Linked DNA regions of Drosophila melanogaster. The protein of the gene in region 2 interacts with the protein of the main gene of each other region in a pairwise test. Each region holds a gene or a part of one and is shown on either strand. Other genes may lie near its edges. The genes, in order: zyd and CG1983.

Evidence for each region.
Region 1: the proteins of CG1983 (region 2) and zyd interact in a two-hybrid assay, tested with the Drosophila melanogaster proteins (one large-scale study listed by BioGRID).

The regions. Positions count from the first base shown.
Region 1 is NC_004354.4:23,022,043-23,032,536, reverse strand, and holds the start of zyd (zydeco), read right to left. Parts: upstream 7,171-10,494; 5' UTR 7,144-7,170; coding exon 7,089-7,143; intron 4,100-7,088; exon of another isoform or gene 3,947-4,099; coding exon of another isoform or gene 3,940-3,946; exon of another isoform or gene 3,927-3,939; intron 3,514-3,926; exon of another isoform or gene 3,345-3,513; intron 2,348-3,344; coding exon 2,174-2,347; intron 2,116-2,173; coding exon 1,928-2,115; intron 1,871-1,927; coding exon 1,684-1,870; intron 18-1,683; coding exon 1-17.
Region 2 is NT_033777.3:30,167,896-30,179,429, forward strand, and holds CG1983 (uncharacterized protein), read right to left. Parts: upstream 9,806-11,534; 5' UTR 9,724-9,805; intron 9,656-9,723; 5' UTR 9,652-9,655; coding exon 9,559-9,651; intron 9,495-9,558; coding exon 9,282-9,494; intron 9,197-9,281; coding exon 9,049-9,196; intron 8,990-9,048; coding exon 8,748-8,989; intron 8,691-8,747; coding exon 8,622-8,690; 3' UTR 7,891-8,621; downstream 1-7,890. Other genes in the region: Rsod (uncharacterized protein), read right to left, coding at 1-138, 202-485, 543-1,199, 1,259-1,811, 1,875-2,787, 3,103-3,172; Mlc2 (myosin light chain 2), read right to left, coding at 5,095-5,517, 5,677-5,919, 6,589-6,591; CG15530 (uncharacterized protein), read left to right, coding at 10,082-10,300, 10,354-10,471, 10,538-11,534.

The DNA.
Region 1 (10,494 bases), on a different chromosome or scaffold from region 2:
AGCCTGCTTAACGCCACCTGTGTAGTGTTGCGAAAGTAAGGTATTGCGTATATATATATAACTTGTATCTGGAGAAAAGCCAAAAAGACAAGCCTCTTTACGTACTAACATAGTTAATTAATTATCATAAAACAAGACTTTATGCTTTATTCCGAGACTTGCAAAAATTCTTTATCTCTAGAATCTGCATTATTGTGGTTATAGTTCCATTTTGTGGGAATTGGAGTTGGAGTAGCTAAAAATTGTAATACGGTCGGTACTCAAATTAAAGACTTAAATATCTACCTTGTATAGTTCCCGATATATGTTTATGTTACATACTTTCAATTCAGTAGTACACTAGGGGTATACTTTTCAGATTGAAATCACTTTACTAGATGCAGAGTGAATATTATGCTAAATATCTATGTATGTACATCTAGACAAGTATTTACCTTCAAATTGTTAAGCGATGTAACGGGTATCTAATATTGATGGTGTTCCGACCCTTGAGCTAGGATCATCAGCCGAGCCAATCTGACCATGTCCGTCTGTACGCGTGTATAAACTTTAATATTTGGAACTTTCCGAATTTAAGTATGTCAATTTCAAAAAATTGTCACTTCGTTTCCTTGCACTCCCTTTTAGCTGAGTAACGGGAACGCAATAGTCGGAGAAGTCCACCATAGTGGTATCTTTTGTTTTAAAAGGTTAAGGTAGATTCATAGAATATTATGCAACAGGTTGCGGAAGCGTTTCAGACCGTATAAAGTTGATGTATATGCTCGTGATCAAGATCACTAGCCGTCAATCTGGAAGTGTTCATGTGTCCGTCTGTCTGTCCGTATCAACGCTCGGATCTCGGGAACTAAAAAAGGTAGAAGTTGTAGATAGGGAGTGCGGGTTCTATTGTAGTAAAAACAACACTAACAGCCACAAACCGTTACTTTCACACAATTTTATAATTTTCTTTTTTGTTTTTTTTTTTTGTCTTGTCAATTTTCATCGGTGCGCAAAAATATTTTGGCAAAACTTTTACGGCAAGTTATTTGATTTGACTCTAACGCCTTCAAAAGGCAAGAAGCTGTCACGCCCAATTTAAAAGAGATTTTGGTTTAATTATTTAATACTAGTCATATTTATTTAAAAAGTCATTGTTTTTGGAAACGAATAAATGTTTAATTTAAACAAAAAATCAAAATGTACTACAGACTCCTTGTAGCATTACTTTTCTTTCATTAATTTTTTTCCAAATTTGTTATATAAATGGTTTGGTAATATGCATGCGATAGAATGGGTATGGTCAAAAAGGATTTTCCGCATATCGATCAACATGGGCGTGACAAAAATCGAGAAATAAAAAATGTAAAACATGGCTTGATTGGCTTGGCTGCTAGTGATCCGATTCGACAGTATATATAGTTTATTGGGTAGCGTTTTCCTTTCGTTCCCCCCTATTACGTAGTATAGTATTCATCGAATTTTATCATACCATATATTCTATGAGTAACTTGCGTAAAAAGTATAAGAACTATAGTTTGTTCTATAATAAAGCAAATTGACATTATATTTCCGACTAATGAGAAGTCGATTGATATTGGCTTAAAACTATTTCTTCTTTGTTACGCCAATACTTTTTTTTTGTAACCTTTGTGAGCCAAAGCTGACATTTTGGAACAAAAGTGCCGCAAGGATATCACTCACCTTTGGCGCACTTTTGGAAAGTTTTGTCGAAATACATGACCGCAAGATAGACGGCATACAGGGAGACCAGGATGAGGGCCTCATACCACTCGACGCGCTCGTCGTGCATAACACAAATGAGAATGGCCACTGTAACTCCGTATGCGATGCTGTCCCGCGTCAGTGGCCACCAGTCCAAGGGTATTGTCTGAAATTTGCATTTCACGAGGATTAGGAAATAGCTGATTATACGAAATAGACTTGCCATGCCAGCTCCGATTCCGCAGCACGCGGCCACTGCCAGGATGTTAAATACCGCCGATCCGACAATCGTGCCCACTCCGATGTCGCCCTCCGTGATAAAGGTTCCTATCACGTTGACAAATAATTCTGGGGCGGAGGTGGCCGCGGCCATGAAAGTGGCACCCGCCACATCATTGGACATGTTGAGTGCTAGATTAGTTGAAAGTGATAGTACGCTAATATTCAAAGTGGATTTAAGAATAACTACCTGCACATATTTTCTCAACTGCTGGCACAAAGTACTCATCACACACTACGGCTAAGGCTACAAATAAATATAAACTGGCTATAACATGAAGTACAACAGCACCAGACTGTCTTTGCGCCTCCGAGAATAGGTCTCGGGGGAAGTCATCGATGGCGGGCTGAGTGCAATTTATATCTGAAAGATATGCGAAATTCAAAGATTACTTATTGAAGGTTAGTTTCAACACTTAAGAAAGCATTAACTTATATTACCTAGCTTAGCTATCAGCTAAGCTGAGCCAATAGCTGAGCGTATAAAAAGAGTTGAAAGTTTCATACTGCCAATGGTTCCAAATAACGGAAATTTAGCCTTAATGTTTTAATATCAATACGCTAATACAAAAACCTGTTCAAATAGGATAAGTCGTTCCAGATTGGTGAAAATTTATGGTATTGTTACCAAATGTCTTTAAAACTTTTTGGATTATCCGAGGCCTAAAGAAAAATCTTACGATTCTTAAGATCAATCAAAATGAAAAAGGGCTTTATTTAAAAGTGAGTTTCATAAGTTAATCTTTCAAAATTTCTGCAATTAACTGATAATTCTCAAAATTTACTTAAATCTTATTTTGAGAGTATCATTCGACTGGAGTATTTTAAGCAATAGTTTTTTATACTATTTTTTGGCTACATAATCTGCACTTTATAAAATGTTCTCATTTACACTGGCCCCGCTCTTTTGATTAAAACATTCAATTGTCTCAAAGTCTTTAATTCTTACACACGTTACTCGTAGAGTAAAAGGGTATACTAGATTCGTTGAAAAGTATGTAACAGGCAGAAGGAAGCGTTTCCGACTATATAAAGTATATATATTCTTTATCAGGATCAATAGCCGAGTCGATCTAGCCATGTCCGTCTGTCCGTATAACTTTCGAGGTCTCAGGAACTATAAAAACTAGAAGGTTAAGATTACGCATACAGATTCTAGAGACAAAAACGCTGCTCAAGTTTGTTGACCCATGTTGCCACGCTAACTCTAACGCCCACAAACCGCACATAACTACCACGCCCATATTTTTTTCTATTGATTTGCCAAAAATCTTTTTGAAACGCCCGACCTGAAGCCGCCAAAACGGTCACACTTTTGAACAATTTTAAAACTTGTTCTCATTTTATTCCCCAATACCTACCGATATCCCACAAAAATTATGAAATTTCGCGTCCGAATTCACACTAGCTGAGTAACGGATATCTAATAGTCGGGGAACTCGACTATAGCATTCTCTTTTGTTTTGCGCTACCATTGCGTGTGGCCTGTCCCTCATTTGAGCAAATTTAAACACAATAAAAGTGTTCTGTCTGTAGGTAAGCAATTTGTTAAAGCGAGAGTGTAGTGTAATTATATAGTAAAATTTCAAATCATTTTCATCGTCATAAGACGTGTCATCAGAACTTATTTATGTCAAAGATGCAATGGCCGATTATTTCTTAAACTAATCAAAAGTGTTTGATTTTCTTAATAATAATAAACAAAGTCTAAAGTTAAAAAAAAAATTAAATAGAAAAAATTATATTGACGAATTAAAAAATTGGAGACTATGAAAAAATTCATTTTTTAATAGAGTGTCGTGTCGTCGCGGGAAAAATGTAACCTCGAGTTGACAAAGTTTATAAGCAGCTATTCTCACAATAAATAAGTGGCTTGTCATTAAAGAGAATTTTTAATGAAATCATAGGCCCTTATGTCAACTTCAAAATAGAATAAAAATCACTTGGTTTTCGCACATTTCATGCTGCACTGCAACAAATTTTCACCGAACAAAAAAACGCTTCAGACGATCAGGGAACAAGGGCTTCCGAATTGCCGAATTATTCCGACTGCCTCGTCTTTCTATTTTTGTGTATCACAAGTCGGAGTCTCAAGCGTTGATAATGAACTAAACCACCAGAGCTGCAAGAAAGACCATAAGACTGGCAATCAGAATCCAGAACGTGGCACCCAGTACCTCACACCCCAGGAATCGAAACTCAAAACAGAAGCCGAAATGGAAACTGCACGAGATACAGACACAATTACACCAGATACTCATACAGACGCAACGCGAGCAGTAAGCTACAGATACAAATACATCTGCTGGTTCCAGAACATAAGTCGGACTGGAACCGAAACAAAAATAGAAGCCGAAGCCCCGCTTTTTTATCATCGTAGCTCATAGATACATTTGATCATCGATCAAAAATGCGACGGACCTCCGATCCAAATAACGATCGGCAGCGGAAGCGATAAATTCGCCTTTGATGTCATCAAATTGTATTGCAAAACAAAAAACCGATAAAAGCTCATCCGAAGCTTTAAATTGAAACCGAAAACTATGCCCCAGCTAAAAACTAAAAACATATCAACACGGGAAAAAATCGTAGATTTAGTTTCCTATTTCTGCACTTTGCATGCAAATTATTGTTACTCTAGCTTGAAATCTAGGAAACATTGGCCGTTAAAAGTATGTAAATTACTGCTTGGGCGTATTTTTTTTTAATAAAAAGGGTTTCTGCTAGAGTTTTATAAAAAATGTAAAATCAATTCTATATAATTCGCAAAAATTAAATTTAAATTATTAATTCATTTGTATATTATATTTCATGGTTTCTTATTTGACTCTTGAATACTGAATCAATCAAAACCAACATTTTTATATAATTTTTGTCTAATAATTTCAATTATTATATTAAATATTTAATCAAAATGTATTTTTATTTAAAAAATTATTTGGGCTGCTATTTTAAGATTAATGCCTGGAAAATAATTAGCATAGAATAGAAGGGAATAAAATGGTTGTCACCTTTTCAATGTACAAATAATTGTAACACTTCGATACTTTAAATGTTTATGTAATAATGAGATATCAATTTCAATCCTAAATTTAAATGTCTAAGTCGGGCGTCTAAATACTTATTAAACATAGGGCGCCTTTTGGTTGTTCATAAGATTGTGGAATTTTTTTGCATGTAGAGTACCTAAATCGGCAGCCGGTGCCGAGAACAAGCATCAACATACAGACTTCAATCCGCAAATTAAAATAAATAAGTGCTAACTAAACGCAATAGCTAAACTCACTTGCCACTCAAAATGTCAATCGATTGAGCTACATAAGTTGATAGAGACATAGAGTAGATACGAGAAGATATTGCGGTAACCGTAGGTCGAAATACAAATATACATAAATATGTAGGTACAATAGCACTCTGCAACATGGTAACTGTGGACTTGTGCAAATAAGTTTCAGCATCACTATCATCTTTATACCATAACCCCTTAAGTTGATATCTCAAAGCAATCCAACAATTTAAAGATAAACGTTTTTTCTGTTCCATTTTTATACATTCAATATGTACTTATACCCCACTTATACTATTCAGCGCATTAAGATTTTGTAATTTCACAAATAGGGCTAAGCAAGCATAAATAAGTACTACCAAAACACACATACACTTCACCCCAGAACTAAAGAAATGTAGCACAGTGTAATTAAATACCCAGAGCCAGCAGTCAGCCAAGTATATGACCCAATCAAACAAAATTAGCTTTGTTTCGTTCGGTTCGGAAATCATCAGATTGTGAGCGTTTGATCTGACGATTAACACCGGGGTTAATGATTGCCATTAGTCTTGGAGCATTAATATAAGCAATTAGGTGAATTTCGGACTATGAATATAGTGCTCCGAATTCAAATAGGCAAACATTTGGACATCAACAATAAACAAATTGTAAGATTAATATGTAGGTTAGGTTTTCTCCTCTTCTCAATTTTAAATATCTTTATGCGCGATGGACCTTAGGTCGATGAAGGCCTGGTGCGTAGAAATACCACAAACATAAATGTATACCTACATATCTATATAGAAGTGAAGACTCACACGCAAGATTGAGCGACACAGAAAGTCGGAGCCCGGGGTCAATTGACACAAACGCATTTTGTAACCGCCAACCCGCATAATGCAATGATGCTTAATAAACATTTACAGAGTTCCCTAGTTATAGCGAATGAACCAGCTCTGCTCCACAGCACAAGGGAGGAGGAGTGTTAATGATAATCAATTTAACAATCAGAAATACATTCAATCACAGTAAATTAAGTTAACTATAATTGAATGAGCGAATCATAAACAGTAAAAGCGTATCGAATAACTGCAATTTTGAACTCTTTGGATTTGTTACAATATGTGAATCTTAGAAAAGTCAAATAAGTGAGTGGAGCTATTCAGAAGAGGTACTCAGTCTTATTCGTTCTTATGCAACTATAGCCTTCATTATACGCTTATTCGAAATATGTTAACTTTAAGCAATGTTTGCAGTACCCACATTGTAATTAATCATTATGGCAAACAAACCGTATATTACAGGTATTAATCTGCGAGCAAAATCTTCTGAATTTATTCAGCAATCGGCTTTCCATGCAGAAAAACAATATTTTTGATTATTTTCCACAGCAATCGAACGCTGTCAAAAATGCAAAATGGATCATATTGTCTCAGTTGCCAAATGTCAGCAGTAAACTGCTTCAGTATTTACTTGGATTTTTTAACGAAATATTATTATTATTATTGTGCGAATATAACAGTTGTAATATTAGTTCGCACAATTTCCTAGTAATTCCGGTCATATCGGAAACGGGTCTTTTCTGAGAAGATCTGTACGTAAATACTTGCAAGGAAGAAATTTGATGTAAAGATATTTTTAATAAAGATTGCAAGAAGTACTCCTTCCACCTGTAATAATAGTTATTTACAATTTTAAATGTGCCCACCTCACTAGTTTACTCATACAACTAATTTTACCAGACTAAGAATATCTCATTTTCCTGGCTCTTATCAGCATGAATTCGTTATTTTTTCGCTTTTTAATTTTCAGCTTTCTATTAAGTACTCAAACTCACAGCAGAATAATAGTATATGTGAAATGGAAGACTTCATATTACGTATCCGCATCATTGTCACAATTGTTTTATAGAAAGACTTGAAGCACATCGCCTTTCAAACCACACAAAAAGCTCTGTACTAAACATGTGTCTACCCATATGTAAGTTTATATCTGACCATAAGTAAGGGAAATCAGTGTGACAATGCGTATTAATATGACTTTTGTGTTTCGTTTAAAGAAAAATTTTCTAAACGATCCATGCTTTGTGGCTTTTGTCTGTATATATTCTTTCCCATTTTTAGTTAGTTAGTCTTACTTGGTGCTGTCTCCATATTTTTTAGAAGTGAGTTTACCTGCACCCAAGCCAATAATTCTGACAGAAATAAAAAATGAGGTTGAATCTGATGCGGTTCATCTTCGAAAAGGCCAAATATATATTGGTCTCTTTCAAGAGCATGCAACGTAGTAAAGGAGTCACTTGCAACCATTTCAAAGAAATAATAAAAAAACAACAGAGAAACCTATAGCCGAGTTCCCCGACTATCCTCTGCATATTTATGAATAATATGCTATTATCAGCTGTTTAGGCCTAAAAAGATTTTACATACAAAGTATTCCTTCGTTCTTTGTTTAGAAAATAGACTGCATAAAATAAAATCGCGTTTCCAGATACGAACTTACGTGCGCAGAATACTACCAGATACCAGTTGAAGTTATATCTGTTTTTAATAGTAGGTTCCTTCTACCTAAGTTTTCTATGATCAAACCAATAAAAAAGAGTGAAAAGTGAATAGTATATTTTTTTTACGTTATTCTGTGAAAATACCTATATGAGGAACATTGCGCATACGAGCCATGCATGGTTTGTTGGTCACATTAACGTTGAGCGAATAAAAGGATGGAATAAAATATATACGCGGGCATTAACTGATTTTGAAATACATCTAAACAAAAAAATTAATAACAAGAGAGAATGCTATAGTCGAGTTCCCCGACTATCAGATACCCGTTACTCAGCTATTGCGAATGCGAACGCGAATTTCATAATTTTTCTGGGCTATCGATAGATATTGGGGAATAAAATGAGAAAAAATTTAAAAATTGTTTTAAAGTGTGGGCGGCTTTCGGGCGTTAGATTCAGCGTGGCTAAAAATTTAAAAACATGGTTCAAAAATGTGGGCGTGGCAGTATTGAGCGGTTTGTGGACGTTAGAGTGGGTGTGGCAACATGGGTCAACAAACTTGCGCTGCGCCTTTGTCCTATAATCTGTCCGTATGAACGTCGGAATTCAGCATACAGACGGACATGGCTAGATCGACTCGGCTATTGATCCTGATAAAAAATATATATACTTTATATAGTCTGCCTGTTACTTTTCAAAGAATCTAATATACCCTTTTACTCTACGACTAACGGGTATAAAAACGAAACAGTTTTGGTTGTCACTATGCATAGTAAATGTCATTAAGGTTCACTTAATGAGCCAATTTAGACAATTGCTTCATATGCCACAGTTTACGCGCTCAGACACAACACATGCTCTCACGGGCCATAAAGAGATCCGCATGCATACACACCCACACCCGGAATTTTAAGGCGTACAAATTTATGTGCATGCATTTGTGTATGCGTGCCATCGTGCAGATACATACATATGTACATACATATAGAGGCCTATGACGTCAGTGCACGCACAAGCCCATTTAATCGCATTGCATTAAAATTATTTGACGCCTAATTGATTTATTAAACTTGTTTCTATCTTTTTTGTCGCCGTCGCACAATACGTTAAAGGCAACGGAAAATAAAATAAACGTTATTTGTCAATTAGTTAAAAGGGCACTTTTTTAGTAAATTATAAACTTATCTGTGGTTCTCGATCTCAATATTGTCTCATGTTTTTGATTTGTAAATAAATTGGTTAGGGTCACTGAGTCGGACGAAAATAGTGGTGCTAGCTTAACTCGATTTGACGCTTAGTGTTAGCTAAGTTTTGGCTTAGTCACTAGTTAGTTCTGTTAGTGGTTATGTACCCGTAGTGCTGCTAAGACCCCAATAGTCTTCCATTGCTGCACGGTGTTGTAGTGGTGATGGACACTCGTAAACTGCGATGCGCCGTTGTATGAAGCCGAAGCCTAATCTGAATCTCAATCTCAATCCGCACTTCAATGGTGTTGATTTTCTCTATTCTTTTTTTCCTTTCCTTTGCTGTTTCCTTTCGTGCTTTTACAGCTCCCGCACCTTTCTTTTCTTTTCTGTTCGACGCTATTTGCTTATATTCCGTTTCCTCTCCTTTCGATCACCGACCCCTCCTCCTTTACTTCGGCTTAAGTTCTCTTTTCAAATCAGCTTAAGTGAGGCGGTGAGAGTAAGCTCAATTTGCGCTAAAGATCCAAATGGTCCACAATGGCACGTAGAATTGTGGGTGGGTGAATGGCGGCGGAGCAGAGGCAATTGGGGCACTTACAAACACACTAAAACTCTGCCACGAACTTACGAACACTTTCTTACTCACACGCACACGATTTCACCTCGGAAACACGGTCCTGCATCTCATTTCTTTCTAAAATTGGGCAACCTGTGGAATGCGATATTGTCTTTAGAGCTGTGAGAACCAGAAACCCTATACAGACATTAGTTTTCTTCGTTTTTTTTTTTCCTAAATTGTTATTTTATTCTGAGCCTGAATCAAGGGAGTAAAACAATGTAAAAAAAACTGAAACTAAGCCATTTCCTTTCTTTTTGGATTGCATAAAATTTGTGCTAAGGTTTTTCAGGTATCGATGTTAATCTGATTATTATATAATTTAAGATGATTATCTATTGATTGTTCCAATATTTTTAAGAACCGGTGCTAAGCACACATAAGTGCGTTATAAGCATTTGTGGTTTTAATACGTAATAGATGTACGTGGTATTCTTACACGTTTCAAGGGACTACTGACTTCAGAAAGCATCATTAAGTTTCGAAAAATTTATATTTTCTATACGTTCACAATCATGTGTATTTATAGGTAAACCCATATTTCCATATATATTACATATTATTTAACGAAATATATACGTTTGTAAGATAATCGATTTTATAAGAAACATGTATGTATACAAGTCTCAGTTCACCTTTTATTATGACGAGCCGAAATCGCCAACCCTGCACATATGGATGCTTAGTTTATTTATTAACCGAATCGTCTAACTTAATAAGTAAAAATGCCTAGACCTTGGGAAATCTAGCTATGGCATAACAAATATAAATAGTAAGGTAAAATAAAGACAAAAAAAAAACCAAATAAATAAAATAAAAATGGTTACTATCCACCACGTTTTGTAAGTTACTAATCAATCAGTGTTAAATCAGTCAGTTGCCTAACCTATAATTAGCATACAATTCAATAGTGCAGTAGCACTGACTACAAGATAAA
Region 2 (11,534 bases):
GTCTCCGACTGGCTACCATCGTTGTGGATGAGCTGAGTCATCTTAATGTAACCATAGGCGTATCCAGTGGGATGATGAAACGAGGCAATGGCTCGCAGTTCCCTAGCCTCACTGGGACTGTAGCCACGCTCAAGAGTACTACAATACATAGTTTCATAGTTTATATTAAATGAAAATCTCAATTAATTTTGGTTATCTCACCTGCAAGCCCATCGGGCATTCTTTTGCTTCTTCTGAATAACCACAGATCTTCCAATGATACTGTTATATCCAAATAGTGGAAGATTCGTATCGTTATAGGCATCCTCGAACTGGGTTACTCCCTCAAGACCTCCGAACTTTCCACTTAGATCTCCCATCTCGTACTGATCTGTGGTTCCCCTTTTCGGAGGAGGTGATGACTTTGGACTGACGTCGAAAGGATTCCAGTGACCATATAGAGTGGATGCCTCGCAGGGAAACGCCAAGTTGGCTTCCACGGGTGTCTAAAATTGAGAGCTTAGATTCACAATGTGTACATTAACAGGTTTGGTAATAAATACCCTATGGATGTAATATCCTGTATTATCCTGAAGCCCCTTAAGTTGCACCTCCACATTGCTGACATCATACTCCGATTGCTGGGTGATTTCCACCCGACCGCTGACTGTCAACGAATCTCCATTTGCGTACCACTCCTTGGCCACCACTTTCCTCCGGAAATGTCCAATCACGGCCGAACAAGCCAATCGCTCTCCTCTGGCTTTGGGTCCACTATCCTCATAGATAACAAGAGACTTACCCAGGATACTATGTCTTCCGGAGAGCGGAAGATTGCCGTCTACAAACATCTTCCTACTTATTTTCTGGGCAACTCTTCTGCCTCCAGCGATGGTTAGGGTTCCCGATCTGGCATCCATAGCACCCACTCTGCACATGGAGGCTAAACTGGGTCGGCAGAAGTCATCCACACTGCGATTGCCCCAATCCACTCGGAATGGATTATATACAGGTCCTGCGGAAATGCATCTCTGTTGCCAGTCATAGAAGTCCTTTCCAGGTGCATTGCTGTGGATTGCCCAACGATGATCGTGGGTAGTATTCTGCGTGGATCCATCCGCCTGGATGAGGTACTCAAATAAAACGGTAGTATCCTGCCAAGGCTGCTCCGCCGTCTGCCGGAATATGACTCGACCCACCACAGGATAGCGGAAAAGGACCTAAGATATAAGCACAAATATTAAAATACTTAGCATGAAATACTATTTTATCTACCAACCTGAGCAGTAACCATGTTCTGCTGGTAGATTCCATTTCGTTGATATTGACTTAGGCTCGAACAGCCCCAAATCATCTTCGTAATATTTGTGACATTAGATCGATTGAAAGTGTATATGACCAGACTTCTTTGGGCAATGCTATAACGTCCTTGAAGGGGCAGAAATACGTCCCAGTAGAGGCCATTCAACTCGGAGCTCGTTCCTGGTAAGACATACTGATGCCAATAACCTTTATTGCGACCCTGTAGCTTCCCGGAGAGATCGCCCACGGGATACTGCTCCTGGGTTCCATAACCGGGTGGGGGTATATTCTCGTTTATCTCCCGGGGATTATGCATGTCCCCAGTGGTCAGGCAGTAGTCCTCGTGACCCATCCTCGAAGGCACCGGCGGCAGACTGTGAATCCGAAAGGCGGCCACATCTTCGGCGAACTTGCGACTGACATGCTGGGAAAGCGGTGCTCCCAAGGTGAAATTGAGGAAAGTTGGGTCGAACTTGGAGCGCTGCATGAAGGTAACCTCTCCCTTGACACCACCAGAGTTGATGAAAGTTCTGCGGTTAACAAAAAAAAAATGGTTATACTTTCAAATAGAATGGGTTGTAAAAACCACTCACTTATGTGTCAAAGGTTGGACATGGCGAATCTTGGTGCACGCGAGGTACGAATCTGGATGTTGGTTGTCAAAAAGAACCAGGTAAAGAGTTCTATGGGGAATGGTAAGATCCGAGGGCAGCAGGGCCAACTGAGCATCCCTAAAAACGCTGCGTTGTGGCGAACGAAGGGCATTCTTGGCCACTCCAATCCTGCCTAGGCGTGCGTCCAGATCACCTATTCCCTTGCCAGCTCCACTTCCTTGGGGATCGAAAACTTGCTGCAGGAAGTTGCAGTTGTCCTCCGTGCGATGGTGGTCATGTTTGAAAATGTCCGTCACATAGATCTTCCAGTGGTGCTGGGTGAACGGTCCAGCTTGACTTCTATCTTCCTCCAGAGCAGCTGGTTGCGCCCTAATATGGTAAAGATCCGAGTAGATTAGAGTATCTCCAACAGCTCCCTCCGCCGGGGCCAGCCAGCGGAAATGGACAGATCCAGCGACAGGAGTATTAAAACGAGCCTCTGCCATGTGCTCCACGGAACTCTGGATGGTGGTGATGGTGGCACAGATCCGTGCATTAGCGTTGACCTCTGTCAGAACCAGGGACTTCCCCCAGATTCCCCGATCCCCAATCAACTGCATGTTTCGCTCCCAGCTGGAGGTCTCATTTCCGGGCAGTACCAGGTACTCCAAGTCCTCGTCAAAGGACAGGACCTGGGAGCCCAAACGACTCAGTTCGCAGCGTTCGTCTGGGTCAATATTGGAGTAGTCCACGGGGAAGCGACGTACTCCCCAACTCCATACTTGGTCGGGGTACTGCAAAGTGGCCTCCAGGTTGGCCTTGATCTCCACCGTGGTGGCATTCATTTGCCGAAAAGTGATCTCTCCATGAAGACCTCTTTGCGAGATATAAGCGATCAGATGCTGTGCATCAGCTGAGAGGCACAAAAACGATAGTGAGAGTGGAGTGTTCATTAGTAAGGTGAGATATCTCATAGGCGCAGAGAGAGAAATATGAATGAATAATATAATTATATGCATAAAATATAGTGTTGGAAATAAAAGGTTAGTTTACTTTCGAAGCAAAGTATACAGCATAGGATAAGGGCTTAGTTCGCCCCAAATGTATATCACTTTTCTTGCAGTGCACTCGAGAGTGTGGTGAGATATTCCAGACTCAAACTGAGATACTTTCGATTTCTTTGGCCACGCAATATCTGCATACAATGCAATCGATTCCCAGCACTCACCTCCACTCATTAGTGATGCAATCCAGCAGATGGAAGCCATCCACAAAAGCTGTCGTCCACCTGGAGCCATGGTTCTGGTTCTACTTACGCCCTGAGTAACCAGATTATTCGAAAAGCGCTGTTCGGAATGGATGTGGCAATGACAAGCGTGGCTGACTTTCACATCGTAGTGCGCATGCGTGCGCCTCGAAACTCGACTGACAACTGGTCGCTCGAAGGTTCGTGTTCGGTTTTGGCCATCGTCTTGGCCAAGTGTGGGGAGTTTCCCACTGCGCTCCACAGCTTCGTTCAGCTCCCCAGCTTTATCGGTGGTTTTGTTTTGACCTGGAACTGGTTTCCGGCACGGCTCAGCTGAGTCAGATATGCAGTAAGGTACTACATACCCCCAAAAAACCCCTTCCCTGAGCAAATCAAACTTCAATGGCTTTGTGTTTTTTTTTCAAGACGACTCTCTTTTGCTTTATTCCAAGACTTCGTCATCGTATCATCATCTAGTTATGTTGTATAAAAACAGTTACTTGTTTTCTATTTTTAGATGTTTTTTGTTTTACTCTTGTTAATATTCCTGACCGGGTTAAAAGTTTTCTGAATTTTTTCATCTTGCCGTGTGTAGCTTAAAATATACTGAAGTAAAGATTCGATTTGCATTTAACAACTTGTTGCATGTTGCACTTTGAAATGGATTGCAGTGTGCGTGTGAGTGTGGTGTGTGCTCGTGTCGAGTGTCAAGTGTTGAGTTCTGAGTAATAGTAGTATTAGATAAATAAGGCAATATATTGTGCTTCCTCCGATCAGCCTAGGTACTAGTGGTTATGGGCACCTTATTCAAACTAAAACCCCCCCGACCGTCTATTTCCCGGGGAGGCGTATCATCCTGGAAGCTTCAAAACGCATTAACTAGAAACACTGGGTTTGTTATTTGAATGTTTCTTCATATTTCAGATATCATTTTGGGTTGTTTGTTCGTTTGGGTGGTTTATATCGCTGATAGTTCATAAGCAGAAAGTTGTGGTGGTGGCGATGGTTAAGTTATATAAATTCGCATTAAACAATTTGAGTGAATGAACTTAATGTTTCTCTGTTATTAGCCTAACTCTCGATAACTTGCAATAATATTGATAACTCATAACTGATAAATAAGTAAGTAACGAACGATAGATATGTATAACGATAAATATTTTGTGATAGTAGGATATATATTTGGCTCTCAGTTAAATGATCCCTAACAATAGTTTGTTATGGGTTTACCTCTCTCTCTCCTGGTCCTGCGAGATTTCTTGAACGAAAAACATTGTAACTCACAAAACTGGCTAAAATTCATATTCATAATCAAATTGAACTCGCGGGTGCAGGGCTAACGAATACAGCCCGGCTACCCATCAACATCGTCTTCGTCCTCCCTACATCATAAATCATACATCATACATCCTCATTTCGATTCCGATCTCGATCTCGATCTGGTAATCATCTCTCTCTGGGGGTTCTTCTCTTTAGTTCTTCAACGGACAGCGATATAAAAATAGACACGGCTTGTTTGTTGTTTTTAAGTTTTTTTTGTTGATTTTATAGGTGTTTTAAATAAAATAGATAGCATATGTTTTATAAATTTTACGTGTAAAATTTAACAGTAAATCAACTAGAAAACTACGCGTCAGTTCTTGCCGTGACAGTGAACGTGATCGTAAGTATCCCTAACTATGATGGACAGATACATGGTAAATGGTTCTGATCGCTACCAAATGTTGCTGAAGAAGTTCTTTTGAGGTTCAGTTTGATCGGATGTTGCTGATCTGGTTGGTGGTGTTGTTCTTGGTACAAGGTACTTGGTGATGGTTAACAAAAGAGATTACAAGATACTGAGAATCTACATATGTAAACGAGCGTTTCTTTTAATTACGTTTATTATTACTGATTTGACTGATTGATTTAACGTTCTGATTCTGGCTGTAAAATGGATGTTGAGTTAGAAGTTAGGATGTGATCGGATGTGCCTTAGGCGGCCTCCTCCTCCTCCTCTTCACCCTTGCCGGTGAGCATCTCGATCAGGGCGGCGGTATCGATCTGGTTCTTGTCGTCGATCACCATCTGATCGTAGGCATCATCAACCTCCTTCATGGTGAACTTGTCACCGAAGTTCATGAGCATTTCGCGGAATTTGTCACCGTCGATGAGACCATCGTTATCGAATGTTTTGAAGGCAGCAATAACAACTTCGTCTTCATCGTTGGCACCGGAGGTGGCCATGCGGTTGGCGAACAGGGTCAGCAACTGGGTGAAGTTGATCGGACCCGAGGCCTCGCCCAGCATGGCGTCCAACTCCTTGTCGTTGGCGATCTTGCCGACGGAGTCGAAGGCAGCGCGCAGATCGTTCTTGCCAATAATACCGTCCTTGTCGGCATCCATGAGTTGGAAGGCCTATCGATCCCGCACAGAGACAGAGAGAGATAGAAAGAAAGAGTGTGTTGGTGACTTGGTCCTTGACAAGTGCGATAGATGGTAGGATGACAGGATGATGGGATGGGTCTCGAGTGATCCGACATATGATGCGATATATGAGTAACGCCCAAAACTCACCTCCTTGAACTCGGCGATCTGCTTCTGGGAGAACACAGAGAAGACCGAGGAGCCAGCGCGCTTCGACTTCCTGGAGCCACGGGATCCGCCCGACGCTCTCTTCGAACCAGTGGCAGATGCGGCCGGGGCAGGAGTGGCAGCTGGTGCCGGGGTTGCTGCCTCGGATGCGGCCTCAGAAGCGGTTTCGGAAGTACCACCCTCTTCCTTGGTCTTCTTCTTCTTAACCTTCTTCTTCTCATCGGCCTGAGGAGAGAAAAGAGGGATTTATTAGTAGGGACTCGTGGCAGAAAGGGGGTATCTACTCGGTCATTAGTCGTTATAGTCCGTCTTTAGCTGTCACTTGAAAGTTCCGATTCCGGAAGTTATACTATTCGTTTTAGGGATCTTAGTAAGTTATCCGCGTTGAAGGATCTTCAATTGGAATTATATGGGTAGAAAGTTATCCCTTAATAGGGATTTAAGGGATGTAAGGTATGCTTTTCAAAAGGCCTACCCGACTAGGCCAGAAAATATGTATCTGCAGGCGAAAGTTTTCCACTCATTCTAAAAATATACCGGACGCATATTACGTAAGCTCTCCGCCGTGCGCCACTCGCTGTCTCGCTCGCTCCCCGGCACGGATATCAGATTACATTACTGACGCGTAACACTCGGATCGGATCGATCCATTTATAGAACTTTCTGCACTATTCTCACTGCGTATGTGAAGAAGGTGAATCGGGATCACCATGATTTAGAGTTATGGTTCACTTCATATTCATATCCTCGGGGTCATTCTCGAATGCAAACGATTCACTGCACTGATCGGCATTATCCTTGCTGCATATATCCAGGCACTGGGGTCCAGTTCGATTCGGTTCGGTTCAGTTCGGTTCAGTTGGATTGTAGTGATATTCCGGGACGAGTCCTTACCATGGTGCTGAACTTTGATGTGTTGTCTAATCGAGTCGAGCCGTCAGAGCACACTGAATCTCTGGCTGATTTTATCGCCAAGACAATGATGTTTTAAGAGCTCGGAGGAGCTCTTCTTCTTCCAAGCATTGGGGCCGCTCGTGGAGGTTCGGCCACCTTCGGGGATCTTCGGGCGCCATTCGCTGTATCCGTATCTGCAATATTCGTGCTGCCTTTTTTAGTATCTGCAAGGCGAGGTCCGCCCAGGAGATCGGCGGGGGCGGGCAGCTACAACTATATAGATATAGCCATGGCTATAGCCTATAGCCTATGGTGTAGCTGTATCCGAGGTGTTTACTCATCCATCGGGCGCTGCTCTAATCAAAAATCTAATTTTAAAGGCAGAGAAATTGCTTTGGCTTTGGCTTTTGGGCAGCAGAAGCCTATACATATGTTCGGAATTTATTTCGGGGCGATTCGGATTGGTTCATATAGCGGCTCTCTGTTGTGGATACATTTCCCCATCCTCGGATTCTGTTTTGTTTTCTTTTATTTTGCTCTGCTTCACTACTCGGTGCGTCTCTCTGCCAGAGGCCACCTCCGAAAGGTGTCCTCTTGCGCTGAAATCACCTACATTTTCCTTGGCGGCGGACAGCATACATATATGCCAACATATAGCATATGTATGTATTCTATTCACGCCTATATACTCGATGTTTTGCTCGCCTACGTTCCTTTTTCTGTTTTCGAAATGCCCCGCACATTGTGCAATATGAAGAGCGCCGAGAATTCCAAATCTATAGATCTGTATATACATACACGGCGATCGGGCGGATTTCGTGTCGCATAAATATCCAACGAACCCGATATTGGACCAGAGTTATTTCGGCAACAAATGTGGAATAAACATCTGACTTTATCTATATGCTAGTCATCCATGGACATTGCATAACAATGGGAAGGCTGTAGGATTTCCATTTCAGATAAACTTTGGGTACCACGTCATGATACATTAACCTTGTTACTAAAAATATTAAACACTGCAGTATTCAAGCTATTTAAGCCATTTCAGTAAATAAATAGTAAAATTGTGACAACTTCAATCGACAAATTGGATTCTCAAAGCCTTATTTACACATTTTTAGTTTTCCAAATAAGCAGGAAATTTCAATTTAGTTTCAAGTGTTACAAAATATTATTATTCATATAGTTTACATCTATTTTTTTTAGAAATATTCATTCTGCAAATTATTCGACTTTTTGCTTTCTGAAGGAAATAAGCCAAAACATTTTTCAAAACAATATTTACATGAGGTCATCTTTGCCACCTGAATTCATTACCCTCGCTGGCTAATATTATAATTAATGAAGGCTCTATGCAAATTTATGAAACGGAAAATATCTCAATTAACGATGGGATCCGTGCGAGAAAGCCTTCATAATTCATCGATCAGACATAATGAAAATCGATTTAGGCTGCAGTCATCTTCGTGCTCCATTGAAAGTGATTTTCGGCGAAAACTCTCATGGCGCAGCCATTTTGGCACGTAACCAGGCGACATTTTGGCCTGGGGCCAACCAAAACAAGAAGATATAGAGGAAAACTGCCCACAATCTAATACGCAAAGTAGCATTGAATATACGCGAATGTAAAAATAGAACAAAGTGCAAAAAACGAGCAAGACGCAGTCGAAGGAATGTTAAAACTAATGAAAACTGCGGCAAATGTATTCAATTTTCCAAGGTGCAGAATGTTTCTGGGAATATTAATGGTTTTGACACTTTGGAAGCATTGTTTATAAAGGGTTAACAATTAAATAAGGCAAATAACAGCCTACACATAACATTTGTTTATCTCAAGGGTTTCTAAATTTAAACGCCAAATCATCTTTGATTTGCTGATTTACTACGTTAGTCTGTGTGAATATACCCAGTTCCACCTGATACATGAGCGAACTTGGAGGTGCTCAGTCGTGAGGTCGGACGTCATTGGGAATCGGCTGTATTCAGTGCCCGCAACGCATTCCTATCACATCTCTGCTCCGCTCCCCTTCTTACACCTTGGCCGCCCGATGGCCGAAAATAGAAGAGCCAACGCGCACCACTGTGCTGCCCATTTCGATCTGAGGGAATAGTTTCGATTTTAGAGACGGAACTTGCTCAGTCGGTTTGTAGCTTACCGCCTTGTCGAAGTCGTTGGACATTCCCATGGAGACGAGCACCGAGTCCGGGGCCAAGGAGTGCGCCTCACATATGGATCTGTGCACCTGCATTAGGGACACGAAATCCGGATTGGGTCCATTGCTGTAGTCAAAACCAAATGCACCAATGGTCATTATGCCCATCAGGTTGAGGTGTTTAAGGTTGCTCTTGATGTACTGGTAGAGTGCAGGAGCATCTTTCGCCTCTATTCCGCTTTTAACTAGAGGTCGATTTAGGAAAGTAAGTATAAGGTCGCTAGTTTGGGGGCGTGAGACTCACCGTCTTCACCACTAGTGTTGATCTGGATGAGCACCTGCAATGGCTCCTCAGGGGTGGGCTGTCGCTTAGACCAGGCTGCGTCCAGTTTGGTGGCCAACTTCTCGCTATCTACGGTCTGGATCATATGCAGATTTGGCACAGAAAGGATCTAAATAAACAATGAGATCAATAAGATAAAGAGAGGTGCTGATAAGAGATAAACGCTGTTATCCGATCTTGGTTATCCAATTGACCTTGTTGATCTTGTTGCTTTGCATGTGGCCTATGAAGTGCCACCTGATGTCGGGGCACTTGGCCAGAATGTCCGGGTGGCGGCTCTTCTCCTCCAGCTCCTGTACATAGTTCTCACCGAAGTCTCTTTGTCCGCCCTCGTAAGCCTCGATTACGGCCTCCGCTGGCTTTGTTTTGCTTACAGCAACGAGCAGCGGCCTGGCAGCTTGAACTTCCTGTGCGAGAGATAAAGTTTTTCATTTAAGAGGTCATTAATAAGTGGGTCTTAAGTTAACTTACTTTGGGCCGCTGGAGGAGCACCTCGTCTATGCGCTTCAACACGTGCTGCAGGCCGGCTTTGACGTCGAATTCCGCCATTGTGCGTCTTAGCATTTAACTAAAAAATGCGAGATGAATAATATTCTTTATATATAAGTACAGATAAATAGTAGTTATTGTTCTTACAATTGGTTAACTCAATGATAAGAAACAGCCCTTGCAAAAATAAAAACAAAACCTTCGAGTCGATCAGCTGTTCGGCAGTGTGACCTGAGTTTACTGAATATACCAATAAAATACTTTTAGTTTTGAAAATACAGATGAAGGCGGGGAGTTTTAAAAGTAATTTAACGCCTAACACCAAAGAGGATATTGTTTTTAAGGCATATGAATAAAATATTTAGTTTTAGCTTTAGCTAAGAAAAAGTCGAAATCCAATTGCCTTTGCTTTGGCAGTAAGTTTCGCCGCACTTTAGCTTTCGAAAACCCTGTGCCGGGGAGAAATGCCTTCACTGGGACGCACACAGACTCCTCGACTTCAGCCATGGCTGACGCTATTAGGTGCGCCTGCGAGTCACTGAACTCCGCGCTGGGCTACCTGGTCACGATGAGGATCTCCGAGGTCCGCCACTGCTTCGAGCTCCTCGGAGTGGCGCACGTAGAGGTGCTCGCAGGTGTGATTGTTTTCATTCTGATGCAGTTCACCAAGTTCACGGCCGTCCTGATGTTGGCCATTCTCCTGGCGTACGGCATTTTCTACCTGGTAAGCCAAGTGTTACTACTGCTACTGAGCCCTCCTAACGAAACCATCCGCAGTGGGACACCTTCTTCCCAGAAATCAGTCATCTCGGTCGCAGGGGAATGAAGATGTTCCGAAACGTGCGCACCTCCGCCAACTTGCCTCCATTTGCTTCAGACACTGAGGAGACGCCTGGTAACTAAAACTAGAACTAAACTACATCTTACGAAATAGCCTCATATATAACGTTTATTTCTCCAGGAGAGTACCAGATCCGTCCGAGGAGCCAGCACTACACCACTGGCATGATAACTCCCCCGAACACCATCAACATGCCGATGCTCCTGCCGATGGTACAAACGAATAATCTCAGGACGACAAGCCTGCAAACGGATCGTAGAAGGCAGGAGGAGGAGAACAGGAGGGGATCCCGTGGAAGAGGACACTCGGCACATCAGGAATCGCAGGACACGGATAGGAAGCACCGAAGAGAGAGACCCAACTGGCGATCTGTTCACTCCGATATTGAAAGGGAGCAACCGTCTACATCCAAGAAGGCTCATCATGGATCCAGTGGCGGAGGTGAGTCCAGGCGGATGTCCAATGTAGTGAAAACCCCGACCATTACCAGCGGAATGGTGGACACCAGGAGACTTTCCAACGTGACCAGAGACCAACTCAAGCGACTGCCCAACATCACGAGCGGAGAGTCGCGGAGGACAGCCAAGGAAGCAGGTGGCGCCAACAATTTCAAGAAGTTGCACCACATAACCAGTGGGGAGCTCACGGAGTCCCGAAGGATTCCGAGAATAACCAGTAATACCACTGAATCCAGATGGCTACCCAGGGGGGAAATGAAAGAATCGCGGAGGATCCAACAGATAACCAGCAACACCAACGAGTCCCGAAGATTACCCACTGTAACCAGTGGTGAGGTGAAGGAATCCAGGAGGAGTTCGCATCCCCACGGAGATGGAGAGTACCGTCGCACTTCAAACAATCAGAGAGATGGTGGCGGTGGTGGGGAGTCCAGATCCCGTCGGTCTGCCGAGAAATCCAATCCTGCCCAAAGCCGCAGGCATGAGGAGCAATCTAAGCAGCGAAGAAGCAGCAATGGACATCCCGGAGTGACCAAGCGGCAATTTCCGGATGATCATTTCGAGCGGTTGAAGCTGGAGAATCGGGAGTTCCAGGCCCGGCGCCTTCAAGCGAGTGGAGCTGCATTCCGGCAAAGTCTAAGTAATCCCACCTCCGAGGG